Linked DNA regions of Saccharomyces cerevisiae S288C. The protein of the gene in region 2 interacts with the protein of the main gene of each other region in a biochemical or structural test. Each region holds a gene or a part of one and is shown on either strand. Other genes may lie near its edges.

Evidence for each region. The genes of interacting proteins can lie anywhere in the genome.
Region 1: the proteins of RAD18 (region 2) and UBC9 form a complex in vitro, tested with the Saccharomyces cerevisiae proteins (2 studies listed by BioGRID, with this or other methods).
Region 3: the proteins of RAD18 (region 2) and RAD6 form a complex in vitro, tested with the Saccharomyces cerevisiae proteins (12 studies listed by BioGRID, with this or other methods).

What each region holds. Positions count from the first base shown.
Region 1 is NC_001136.10:335,307-339,309, reverse strand, and holds UBC9 (E2 SUMO-conjugating protein UBC9), read right to left. Parts: upstream 1,824-4,003; coding exon 1,786-1,823; intron 1,676-1,785; coding exon 1,240-1,675; downstream 1-1,239. Other genes in the region: SYO1 (Syo1p), read left to right, coding at 1-1,038; PEX19 (Pex19p), read left to right, coding at 2,033-3,061; isocitrate dehydrogenase (NADP(+)) IDP1, read right to left, coding at 3,189-4,003. UniProt on the Saccharomyces cerevisiae protein: E2 ubiquitin-like--protein ligase mediating SUMO/Smt3 attachment to septins and PCNA. Seems to be involved in degradation of S- (CLB5) and M-phase cyclins (CLB2).
Region 2 is NC_001135.5:228,756-233,751, forward strand, and holds RAD18 (E3 ubiquitin-protein ligase RAD18), read left to right. Parts: upstream 1-2,744; coding exon 2,745-4,208; downstream 4,209-4,996. Other genes in the region: U2 snRNP complex subunit BUD31, read left to right, coding at 1-36; HCM1 (Hcm1p), read left to right, coding at 555-2,249; GTPase-activating protein SED4, read right to left, coding at 4,370-4,996. UniProt on the Saccharomyces cerevisiae protein: E3 RING-finger protein, member of the UBC2/RAD6 epistasis group. Associates to the E2 ubiquitin conjugating enzyme UBC2/RAD6 to form the UBC2-RAD18 ubiquitin ligase complex involved in postreplicative repair (PRR) of damaged DNA.
Region 3 is NC_001139.9:391,876-395,743, reverse strand, and holds RAD6 (E2 ubiquitin-conjugating protein RAD6), read right to left. Parts: upstream 1,759-3,868; coding exon 1,240-1,758; downstream 1-1,239. Other genes in the region: GEP7 (Gep7p), read left to right, coding at 1-778; protein kinase PKP2, read right to left, coding at 2,046-3,521; YBP2 (Ybp2p), read right to left, coding at 3,754-3,868. UniProt on the Saccharomyces cerevisiae protein: E2 ubiquitin-conjugating enzyme that accepts ubiquitin from the ubiquitin-activating enzyme E1 and transfers it to a E3 ubiquitin-protein ligase.

The DNA.
Region 1 (4,003 bases), on a different chromosome or scaffold from region 2:
ATGAAAATAACTTATGATCAATGTAACAAAATGATCCACTCTGTATGTCATTCCATTAATAACATTGATCCAGTACAGTTAGTTAATGACATTAATAACCCTGTAGAAATTGGACCTGCTACTAGTAAAGATGAAAGCAGTAAGGTTATAACTAAGATCAAGGATTACAATGCGAAACGTAACGAATCCATGATAAAATTGCAAAGCATTGAAATAGCAATTGATCTTATCACCGCAATCATTGAGATAGTTGCATCCAAATATGAATCACCAGAATCACAGGAAGTAGCAATTCCAGAGGAGCTAATCAATACCTTAACAAATTTCTTACCTCACGTTTTCATGATTTTGAAAGATACCTTCACCTCGCGAATATTGATCGGATGGAACAATCTGATCTGGCTCTTTGTGTCTCTATCTCTAACAGAGCTCTCTGGAGAGTTGTTAACCACCTTATGGAGTTATGTTACACAGTTGGACAGCCAAGATGATTTGAGTATTAAAATAGGAAGAATGGGCTGTATTTGGGCGCTTCTGAAACTCATCTTTCCTGATGGAGCGTTTGAAAGTGAGAATCGAGCATTGATCAATGTCCAAATGCTGAACAATTCAGGATTCGCTAGGGGAATTATTGAAGAGTTCCAAAATAATAATGACCTTGAGTTACAACAAAAATGTATTAATGTACTAAGCACATATGCTATGATTCAGGGACAAATTGATGCAAATAAGGAGATTGGGCAGTTCTTCATACAAACTTTAACACAGTTGAATGTTCGCCCTGAAATTTTGATAGAAATGACAAATTCGCTTTTCCAAATTTACGGGGATGCCTCTTACGACTATAATGAACCAATATTTGTAAGGGGTGGATTTTTATCTATTCTAAAAGACCAAGTTGTACCAAATTTGAGGCAGCAATTCAAAATGGTTGATAAAAACAAAAATCCCGAACTAAAAGAAAGATGCCATGATTGCTTTACTACGTTGGATAGTTTCATTCACTACAAAATGAATGAAAATTCTACTAACCAATAGATTTATTAAAGTGTATATAGTTGCCATACTTATAGAAAATGGTACAAAAAATATCTTTCTATTTACTTAGCATAAGAAACAAAGAGCAAAAAATTATTTTTGAGAATTTGTAAATAATGTTATTTTGCTCTATTTTTGTTACACAACGACATTAGTTAAATAAAGTACAAAAGGAGGAAGAATGGGAAAGATGGATTCCCTCTATTTAGAGTACTGTTTAGCTTGAAGCAAAACTTTCTTGTCATATTCCGCCTTATTTCTTGAAAATGATCTCCATGCAGGCTCTTGAGCAGGGGAATTTGGATTTGGAGAGTCTAAAAGATCCTGAACCCCAAGAACAATTTGTTTTAACGTGATGGCGGGTCTCCAATCTTGATCTTCATTTAAAATACTTAAACATATTGTGCCACTTGGATACACGTTTGGATGATAAAATCCGGCTGGAAATTTAACCTTTGGAGGTTTTGAAGGATATTCATTTGGATATTCGACTGTAATTGGGTACACACCACCCGCCCAGTTTGTACCTTCTTTGCCTGGGATACCAGCTTCCCATTTCTGTAAATCCATGGACCCATCAGCTTTCTTAACTGGTTTGGCATAAAATCCAAATGGATGATCCTTTCTCCATTTTTTTCTGTTATTCAAGTAAAACAAGTTAAGTTCATCGATTTGTTAGTATACCGCTGGATGAAATTGTGTATGCCTACAGAATGTAAGCATAAAAGGAGGAAAACTACTACTTACCTTTCTTCCTGAAGACGCTGTAGACACAAACTACTCATATTGCTTCCAAAAAATGGTGCCAGTGTGTGCTTATCCTATGCTAAATTTCTCTTCTTTTTTTAAATGTTTGTTATGGAGACAGGAATAATTTTTAATTTCCAGATGTTAAACGCGGTTTCTGAGAGATATAAAGTGAAGAAAGAATTACAAATTGTGGGAACCGAAGTATTGACGGAAAGAAGAAATGCCAAACATACAACACGAAGTAATGAATGAAAACGAGTACGATAATTTTGATGATTTGGATGACCTTTTAGATGAAGATCCCACTAAACTGGATGAAGCAGAGCCCGATGATGTGCAAGCGAAGGGTTCTGTGTACAACGATAGTGAAAACAAAGAGAAGAATGCCGAAAGTAAGGACAGTGATGGCGTACAGGTAGCTAATGAATCTGAAGAGGACCCAGAATTGAAAGAAATGATGGTAGATTTGCAAAATGAGTTCGCAAATTTGATGAAAAATAACGGTAACGAGAATAATGTGAAGACAGAAGATTTTAATAAACTGATTAGTGCTCTAGAAGAGGCAGCTAAAGTACCTCATCAACAGATGGAGCAAGGATGTAGTAGTTTGAAAAGTAACAGCACTGATAAAGGGACCGTGAATGGTAGCAATCCGGGATTTAAAAACATTGTTTCCAATACGCTAGACAGGTTAAAGGAAAATGGTAATAAAGTTGATACATCCCTAGCCGAAGAAACCAAGGAATCTCAACGCAGTGGCCAAAATAATAATATTGATGATATATTGTCACAATTATTAGATCAAATGGTAGCATCTGGTGGAAAAGAAAGTGCAGAAAATCAATTTGATCTAAAAGATGGGGAGATGGACGACGCAATAACAAAAATACTTGATCAAATGACGTCAAAAGAAGTATTATATGAGCCTATGAAAGAAATGCGTAGTGAGTTCGGTGTTTGGTTTCAAGAAAACGGTGAAAATGAAGAGCATAAGGAAAAGATAGGCACCTACAAGAGGCAATTTAATATCGTAGACGAAATTGTAAATATTTATGAATTGAAAGATTATGACGAGCTAAAGCATAAAGATCGTGTTACTGAACTTTTGGACGAATTAGAACAGCTTGGTGATAGCCCTATTAGAAGTGCGAACAGCCCCCTAAAACACGGTAATGAAGAAGAAGAACTCATGAAAATGTTGGAAATTGATGGTAATGATCCGAACTTGGGGAACCTTGATAAGGAATTAACCGACGGTTGCAAACAACAATAAGGTATATATATTTATGATAACAGTAAAAAAAAAAAAAAAAAAGTAGTTCATTATCCTAGAGCATAACTAAGTATAACACTTTAAAAAATGAAAAAAAAAAGTGGTAGATTGGGCTACGTAAATTCGATTACTCGATCGACTTGATTTCTTTTTGTAGTCTTTTTTCAACGGCATCCAAAAATTCTTCTGTGGTAACATAAGCAGATCTTTCGTTGTTACCGCAAGCCAAAGCCAAGTCCTTCGTCATGATACCGTCTTGCTGAACTGTGTTCAAAGTGGCGGATTCCAAAATATTGGCAAATTTACACAAAGCAGGAGTATTGTCCAATTCACCTCTCTTCAATAGACCTCTCGACCACGCGAAAATGGATGCAATGGAGTTTGTAGAAGTTTCTTCACCCTTTTGGTACTTTCTATAATGTCTTGTCACGGTACCATGAGCAGCTTCACTTTCGAAAGTTTTACCGTCTGGTGTAACTAAGATAGAAGTCATCAAACCTAAGGAGCCAAATCCTTGAGCGACGATGTCAGATTGGACATCACCGTCATAGTTCTTTAGCGCCATGATAAAGCCACCTTTAGATTTTATCATTTGAGCGACCATATCATCAATTAAACGGTGTTCATAGTGGATCCCTAGTTGTTCGAATTTGGATTTATATTGAGCTTCATAAACTTCTTGGAAAATGTCTTTGAACCGACCGTCATATTTCTTCAAAATAGTGTTCTTGGTTGACAAGAAAAGATTTAGCTTTTTGTCAATGGCCAGCTTGAAAGACGAATGAGCAAACCCTTCGATGGATTCGTCAGTATTGTACATGGCCATGGCCACACCACTGCCCTTGTAGTCATACACTTTCAAAGTTTGTGGTTGAGCAGTCGTAGGGTCGGATGGCTTGTAGACCAGTTCCAAAGATCCTGGGCCTGGGATCAGTGTGTCCG
Region 2 (4,996 bases):
CACTGCGGCTGCCGTGGATGTGCAAGCACAGACTAACGACTATATGCACGTTGCAGTATTGTTCTGGCCATGTAATTATCTCTCTCCCAACGTTTTAGAAGAGGTTTTCGTCTCCTTCGTCAAAGACGACCACTTTCCCATTTTGGTCATTGGAACGCGAAAAAACAAAACAGACGCGAGAACGCGACGCGAAAAAATATATTTTTCCGTTTTTTTTTTTTTTCGGAACAAAGATAACGCGTTAAAACCTGTGGATGTAATAAGGATCTGAAACACTGACTAAAACGCGTCCTCATTTAAAATCAAAAAATTACTTCTTCTCCTCCCTTACGGTGCCCTTTGATCCTTCTCAAACTTTAAATATATGTTGCATGATTAATTGAAAATCATATAGAGTATATCTTAACAGAGGTTCCAACGCTTTAAATCGTATTCTATTCTTTTCCCCCCTTTTATTATAGTTACATCTACTATTTGAGCTTCTTTTATTGACCGAAACTACCTCTTATTTCGAAGCAAAAAAAAAAAAAATCAACAAAAATTCCAACTTTTCAATGATGAATGAAGACATATCCATCATTGATGGCCATAATAGTTTTTTAACGGAAAAAAGCACCGTGCTATTAACCCAAGCCAAGAGAACACTAGAAGACGAAAAGGAAATGATTACTCCCCCGAGCTCAACTGTGAGAAAAACAATGAAGGAAGTAAATAAGAGGCCGTCGCATCCCCTCTCACCGGATCACTCGTCCCCAATTGCTCCATCTAAGGCCAAGCGCCAAAGATCGGACACATGCGCTCGGTCCAATGGTAACCTAACCTTGGAAGAAATTCTTCAATCTTTGGAAAGAAGAAGAATAAATGGTGAACTCGCCAAGAAACCTCCATATTCGTATGCAACTTTGATTTGCTTGGCCATTTTGCAATCTCAGGAGGGAAAGCTAACGCTATCCCAGATATATCATTGGATCCACGTTCACTTCCCTTATTACAAGCAGAAAGATGCTAGTTGGCAAAATTCAATAAGACATAACTTGTCTTTAAATGATGCGTTCATCAAGACTGAAAAGTCCTGCGATGGTAAGGGTCATTTCTGGGAGGTCAGACCGGGTGCCGAAACAAAATTTTTCAAAGGTGAAAATCGTGGTTATGAATTTGTAAAGGACTCCTTACAAGACATTGGGAAGTATTTTGAAATAGATTCTACACTTGATGAATTAGAACAAGTTGAGAGTGGAGAAGGCAATGATGATCTTCCTGACGAGGAAGAAAGAGAGGAAGCAGGGAAATTCCCTTCCATTGAAATTCAATTGAACTCCTCCCCTATACTGAGAGTTTCCCAGTTACATCACATACCGCAATTGAAAACAGACAACAGTGTACTGAACCCTCACGAAAACCTAGAATCGATGCGGAACATGATAGAAAACGATGTCAACAATATAGATTCCTTGGAACCTCCTTATGTCATGAAGAAATATCATACTTCTTTAGGCTTACCGTCGCTGGTGAATGCCAAAGATCATTTCCAGGCGGGTGTGAAAAACAATAATATCACCCAGGCAAATAGATTTAATACACTCCCTATAACTAGCGCAAAGTCTCCTCAGAATTTCAGAAAATATTTCACCTCATTCAATTCAAATTTTGAAGATTTATCTCCACTTCGAAGTAATGTAGGGGCTGGTTCTCTACTCGACCCACTTCCGTATTCCCCATTGAAGCTGTACGATCAGAAAAATCTTGCGCTCATGTCGAAACCACAATCTCAGCAATCATATTCCAATTCTCAACTTCCACCTCCACCTTCCTCTCATGGTTCGGACTTACTTAAAACACCCAAGATGAGGCATTCCGATGGCTTAGAGAAAACCCCATCGCGGTTGATAAGCACACCTAAGGACGGTAACTCGATTTTGAGGAAATGGCAGACTCCTTCACACCTTTTTGAAGATTTGTACTGTTCTCCGCTATTTAGAGCTATAGAGACTCCAATCAGGTATATCACGACGCCGGGGGGCACTTTGGAAACCCAAATTTCACCAAGAAAGTCCTCTGCACCCGATGTCCTCACAAGCGCAACGAATTCCAAATTTGCTTCAAGCGGGCTGTTTGGCGTGGATGTTTATTCTGTTTGGAAGCGCGCAACTGAAAAGATTTCTGATGGTAACAATACTACGGATAGCAATCAAAAACATCATCCTTATCATAATCACCCTTCCAACGATAGCGGTAATGAAAAGAATTGACTTTTTTTTTTTTTTTTTTTCATTTTCTTTTCCTCACCGAAAACTAATTATTCTTAATCTGATGGATTCATCGCAAACGGTTGGATGAGTCCTAAACTGGGCTGGAGTTATCATATCACATAGCATTTTCTTTTTAATCTTATTGTATTGTCGGGTCAACTAACTTCTTTTCCCGCTCTTCTATGGTATAATCAATTGCAGAAGAGGCAGGAAAAAATTGTAATCATAACAAAAATGATACAAATTTTTTTTCTAAGTTTTATATTTTACATATCTTTATTTTTGATCCTTACGGATTTTTAATACAGTATTTAGCTGAAGTTTCCATTCACTTCACTTACCTTTTTGATCTCTTTTATTTTTACTTGCCCCGTTGCCTTGCATTTTTCAATAGAAAGTGAAAAACTAAGTACCACTTGAGCAATGCCACATTAGAAGAAAAACCATCCGCAAGTGAGCATCACAGCTACTAAGAAAAGGCCATTTTTACTACTCATGGACCACCAAATAACCACTGCAAGCGACTTCACGACTACTTCAATACCGAGCCTGTACCAATTGGATACACTTTTGAGATGTCACATTTGTAAAGATTTTCTAAAAGTCCCCGTCTTAACACCTTGTGGCCATACATTTTGTTCCCTTTGTATTAGAACACATTTGAATAACCAACCAAATTGTCCTCTCTGCCTTTTCGAGTTCAGAGAGTCCTTGCTGAGAAGTGAGTTCCTGGTCAGTGAAATAATTCAAAGTTATACATCCCTACGATCTTCCTTACTAGATGCACTAAGGATACCGAAGCCTACCCCTGTCCCTGAGAATGAGGAAGTACCAGGTCCTGAAAATTCTTCATGGATAGAACTCATATCAGAGTCTGAAAGTGACAGTGTAAATGCCGCTGATGATGACTTGCAAATTGTTGCAACAAGTGAAAGAAAACTTGCCAAAAGATCCATGACTGATATATTACCACTGAGTTCCAAACCATCCAAAAGGAATTTTGCAATGTTCAGAAGTGAACGTATCAAGAAAAAATCAAAGCCAAATGAACAAATGGCCCAGTGCCCCATATGTCAACAATTTTATCCTCTTAAAGCCCTTGAAAAAACACATTTGGATGAATGCCTAACTTTACAATCACTAGGCAAAAAACCAAAAATTTCTACCACTTTCCCTACAGAGTCAAATCCACATAACAAAAGTTCATCCAGATTCAAGGTACGAACTCCAGAAGTCGACAAAAGCTCATGTGGTGAGACCTCACATGTGGATAAGTATTTAAACTCAATGATGAGTGCAGAACACCAAAGATTGCCGAAGATCAATTTTACGTCTATGACTCAATCCCAAATAAAACAAAAACTGTCATCGTTGGGACTGTCAACTAATGGTACTAGGCAAAACATGATTAAAAGATACAATCACTACGAAATGCTTTGGAATTCTAATTTTTGTGATTCTCTAGAACCTGTTGATGAAGCTGAACTAAAAAGACAGTTGTTAAGCTGGGATGTTTCACACAATAAAACCCCCCAAAATAGTAGCAACAAGGGTGGAATTTCTAAATTAATGATAATGAAGAGTAATGGGAAATCTTCTTCATATAGGAAATTACTTGAAAATTTCAAAAACGATAAATTTAATAGGAAAGGATGGATGGTTATGTTTCGGAAGGATTTTGCTAGGCTTATCAGGGAAGCAAAAATGAAAATAAAAACAGGTTCATCGGACAGTTCAGGTTCAGTGGGACATTCTAATGATGGAGATGGTGTTGAAAAAGTTCAAAGTGACCAGGGAACCGAGGATCAGCAAATGGAGAAGGATCAGGACACTGTTATCAACGAAGATAGAGTTGCTGGTGAAAGAAATTTGCCTAACGAAGATTCAACTGATGCTGACTTATCAAGAGAATTAATGGACTTGAATGAATATAGTAAAGACCCACCCGGTAACAATTAAGGTGTGTATATGTAATCAGGCCTGTTTGTTAGCTTGTGCACATTTGTTAATTAATAATTTATTTAAAAATGGGCAAAATATAAATGCATAAAAGATGACATAGAGATATGTGCACAAAGCTATGTAATCATATTTAACATTAATATATATTATTTCGTTATTCACAATTCGTCATGAAGGCCAGCGTAGTTTACGGTTCCTGCTACTGCATTATCATCGTTGACAATGTTTGTATTCGAATTATTATTCAAAGGTGCTGCAATTGTTTGCGGAGGGGCCACTGGATTAGGCAAAGAAGTGATCTCCACGTTAAGTGCTGAAATAACTTCACTAGATAGAGAGACGTCTTCGGTAACATCTACCGTACCAGATGCCTGCATTTCCGTCGTAAGCATTCGGGAAACAGGAGTATTTACATTTTCGCTGATTTTGTGGCGTACCCCAAACGCTTCAGATGAATCTTTTGATGACTGTACTTCTATCATTATTTCTTTCTGTACAAATCCTGATGCATCAATTGAACTAGCAGATATTTTGTGAGGGCTACTTACAAAAGATGGTGCTGTTGTGGTTACACCTGGCATCGGCTGAGCTACTGTGCTTGACGCGCTCTCCACGGATAAAGTTCCCTTGCCTATATCAGACAGAGCGCCAATTGAAGCACCACTACTACTAAAGATCATAGATGCCATAGAAGTCCCTTCAATATTTGTGGATTCTGATAGGGAAGATTGACCAACACTCGTCTTAGGTGATTGTACAGCATCAGTGAAAACACTAGTGGGTTC
Region 3 (3,868 bases), on a different chromosome or scaffold from region 2:
TCTTTTGGTAAAGAGATTTTATCAACCAAAATTAGAAAGAATTCCACCGGCTTCACTGCTTTTGAAGCAGAAAATACGGTTAGCTCAAAATGGCAGTACTACATCTACAGAAAACCCCATTTCCTTCTCACAGACCATGTCCGAGATATTTAGCGTCTTGCAGCCAAGTGCACCAGATCTAGATGAAGACGAAACAAGTGGTTTGAAACGCGATCATTTATTAACTGAGCGTCTAAACAACGGCGAGCTTGGTGTCATTATGAACAAATTCTTCAATCCGTCTTCGACACATAACAATCAGTTGATAGATACGAATATATTACTTCAGAATTTTCCTAAGTTAAGTGGTAATGACTTAGATTTATTGGATTTTGCCATAAATGAGAAAATGCGAGGAAACTGGAATGATCTAAAGCAAGATTTCATTCAGTTGTGGTACTACAAGTCATTTGGCTTTCTTGGACCTCGAACTCAATTTGTCCTGACAAACTCTTCTCCGTCAGTTAGGTCCCAATTCTTGAAACTTCCATTCATCGAATATAATTGGTTTCTCCTACAAAATAACAAAAACGCAAATATACTACCTGCTGATGTGCAAAACGTGGTCAAGGTGTTTCATCTTGATGATAAAAGGTTTACTTGGAAGAGCATAGATCCATTCAGCAAAGCTATAATTTCATTCGTCGTTTTTGTTTCCATATATGTGTGGTTGGATGAAAGTGCAAAACAAAAAACGAAGGAGCTGCCCGCACAGAAGAGTACTGTAATATCAGAATAAAAAAAAATGGGGTCACTCTTCATTCTTGCAGTTAAAAGTGCCACTCACTCATGATTTTTTTTTTTCCTGTTTTTTTGATTTTTTTTATATATTATACATTAAGTTATCTAAGTAAATATATTCTTTCTACTCTAAATAAGTATTCCTTGAATCAAACACAAAAGATACGGGTATCGGCAGTTATAACCGATAACAAATTGTCCTTATTTCTCATTTCACGTTATTTTCTCCAAAGAAATTTATGGTAGAGCAGTGTTTCTTTTTAGTATATTATTTATATGCAATGTTTCTATCATTATTAAATTTTCTTTACGGTATAAAGTAGAAGATGGAGGAATAGAAAGCAAACGGATCGATAGAGAAAGAAACTCACGATGAAGCCCTATATTTGATTGAACAAAAAGGTAATCGAATTCATAATATCGGCTCGGCATTCATCATTAAGATTCTTTTGATTTTTCTCAGTCTGCTTCGTCGTCGTCGTCGTCGTCATCATCATCATCATCATCGTCCATATCGTCCATATCATCCTCCCAAGATTTCTCTACCGTCTCCTTAACTCTTTTGACGTACTGTGATTTATGATCTTTGAATAATGTTGCAGCTTCAACGTTTGCTGGCGAAGCTGGATTTGGATCGTTGAATAAACTTTGAATGGATGTCAATATGGATGCGACATCATATGTTGGAGTCCATCTGTTCTGCAAAATATCCAAACAAATTTCACCATTTGCATAGACATTGGGATGAAACATTTCACTCAAAAATTTGACATGCGGTGGCTTATTGGGATATTCTTCATCAAACTCCAACAATAACCTAAAAGTTCCGTCTTCATATGGAGTATCGGCTGGCCCGATAATCATGGCGTTCCATACCATGACGTTATCAGGTAATGGTGAAGCAGATACACCCGGTGGGGCATCTTCCTTCATACGTTTAAAATCTCTCATCAACCTTCTTCTAGCTGGTGTGGACATGACGCTTTATCTTTTAGTCTCTGTCTGCCTAAAAATAATCTTTGGAATTCGATCTTCGTTGATTTTCCACTCTACTATTTATGTCATCAACTCTGCAACTTGATAGTTCTTTCCTTTTTTTCTCTTACACATTCCATTCGCTTTCATTTTTATTTTTCCAGCTTTCTACTCCGGCTACCCGGAGGTGCCTTTTTGTATATACATACACTAATCCGGGAAATGTAGTCACCATACTAATATTCCGAATATGTATTTGTTCCTTGGTATATAGTGTAAGCATGGTTAGCTCACACTTTATCTAATTGTAGTTTCTTCGTATGCTTCATCAAGTTGCCTAATTTTAATACAACATCGGTACCATATCCAGGCATTGAATGCAATGAAAGGTCGCCGTTCCAATATTCAGCATACACTTTACACATGGCTAACCCAATCCCAAGCTTGTATCTAAAAGACCGCTTTAACAATTCAATTAGGGGAGTTTCATATTTGATGTGCCCATTTATGATGCTAGGATAACTCATTGGTTCTAGCGACGTGTGCATGTACGGTTTTAATGTTATTGACTGCAATGACTTCAGTTTGGAGTTATATTTAGTATGGGAATGTACTTCGTCATAAATAGATACTGTTTGTAAACCAGGTAACTTGTGAAAATTATTTAGGGATTCTTGAGCCCTTTCTTTCGATTTACCGAATGACCATAGATTTTCATCATCATGGAGGACGCCCCCAGCTTTATCTGAAATTCTAAACAAATAGGATTCATCGTTACTTACTACAGTTACTATGATTGGTTCCGGCTTTTCTAATCCCTTACGAATATAGTGTTTCATGGTTGCTTCGTAAGTATTTCGAAGGATCTCCCCTAACAAATACTTCAAATGTGTAGGCAAAAAGTAAAAGCTTAGTTGAGTGTCACCTTCGATAATAAATTCTGGCATGGGAATGTCTTTAAAGTACATATCTTGGATAAATTTTTGAGATTCCTCACTGGCTTCCAATAAATATTTTTTAGCGCTACATTCTTGAAAAATATCACCCAATACCAAGGTATTTTCCTCCTTACCACTAGTGTAGTTGGCTGTGATACTGACGTGTTCCTCTACAATCAATCTTCTTGATATTCGAGCTCTTAACAGATCAGATAGTAGTTGGTCCATTTTTTCACGAGGATAAAGATCCAAAATTGTACATTCTAAAGCCCCCATTATCAAATGTGGTAAGTTTAGAGTATTGAAGCCTTCTAGCATATTTTTGATAAAATCTGCAAATTGAGAAGCGTCCTCTAAAGTTCTTATAGTCGGATATTTTCTAAAGCTTTCAAAAATATTGTAATATGACTCATAAACTTGAACAAAATGGAAGTTGTTCACAACATTAAATGGAAGTTGTTGCAATTGATTTAATTTATGCGCGATCCTAATTACCAGTTCTTCTTTTACAAATTTCCCGGAATTGATGATCTTGGTTCTGGTCAGCTTGGTAGAATCGTCATAATATTGCGCTAACTGCGTTAATGATACTGGATTTGGACTTCGTTTTAAGTAATTTTCTACTAATACCGTTCTATTATGATAGTAATGCTGCGGATTGATATATTCGGAATTTGAAGGGTATGCCTTCATGGTTTCCATGATGTAAGGTGCCAATTCTTCATTTACGGGACCAATGCAGTATTTCGTGAAATCAGGGATCTGCGAGATATTAGATGTCCTGAGAAAGTGCCGGTATCTTATGCAATTAATTTGATACTTAGACATAATTACAGAACTATTTATCCATTGACCAATCTCTCACGATCTTCATCTTTTACGTACTTTCTGGGTTCCAATGCAAGTATCCCATCCCTTCCCTTTTTATTCCTTGACGATCGGGCGATGAAATCTGAAAAAAATGAAAGTTTGGATGACTCAAAACATAGTGTTTCCCTTTAATAGAATAATTCGATTTACTCGGGAACAAAAGAGAAGAGCAACTAATTTACTATGTAGTTTACGAGCGTATGTTCATCTCTTCTATATATTCTCCCAGAGTATTATTGGAAATGTTGATGAATGCTAATTCAGGCTCACCTTCTCCTTGAAATGATTCGGAGATTTCTTTATTG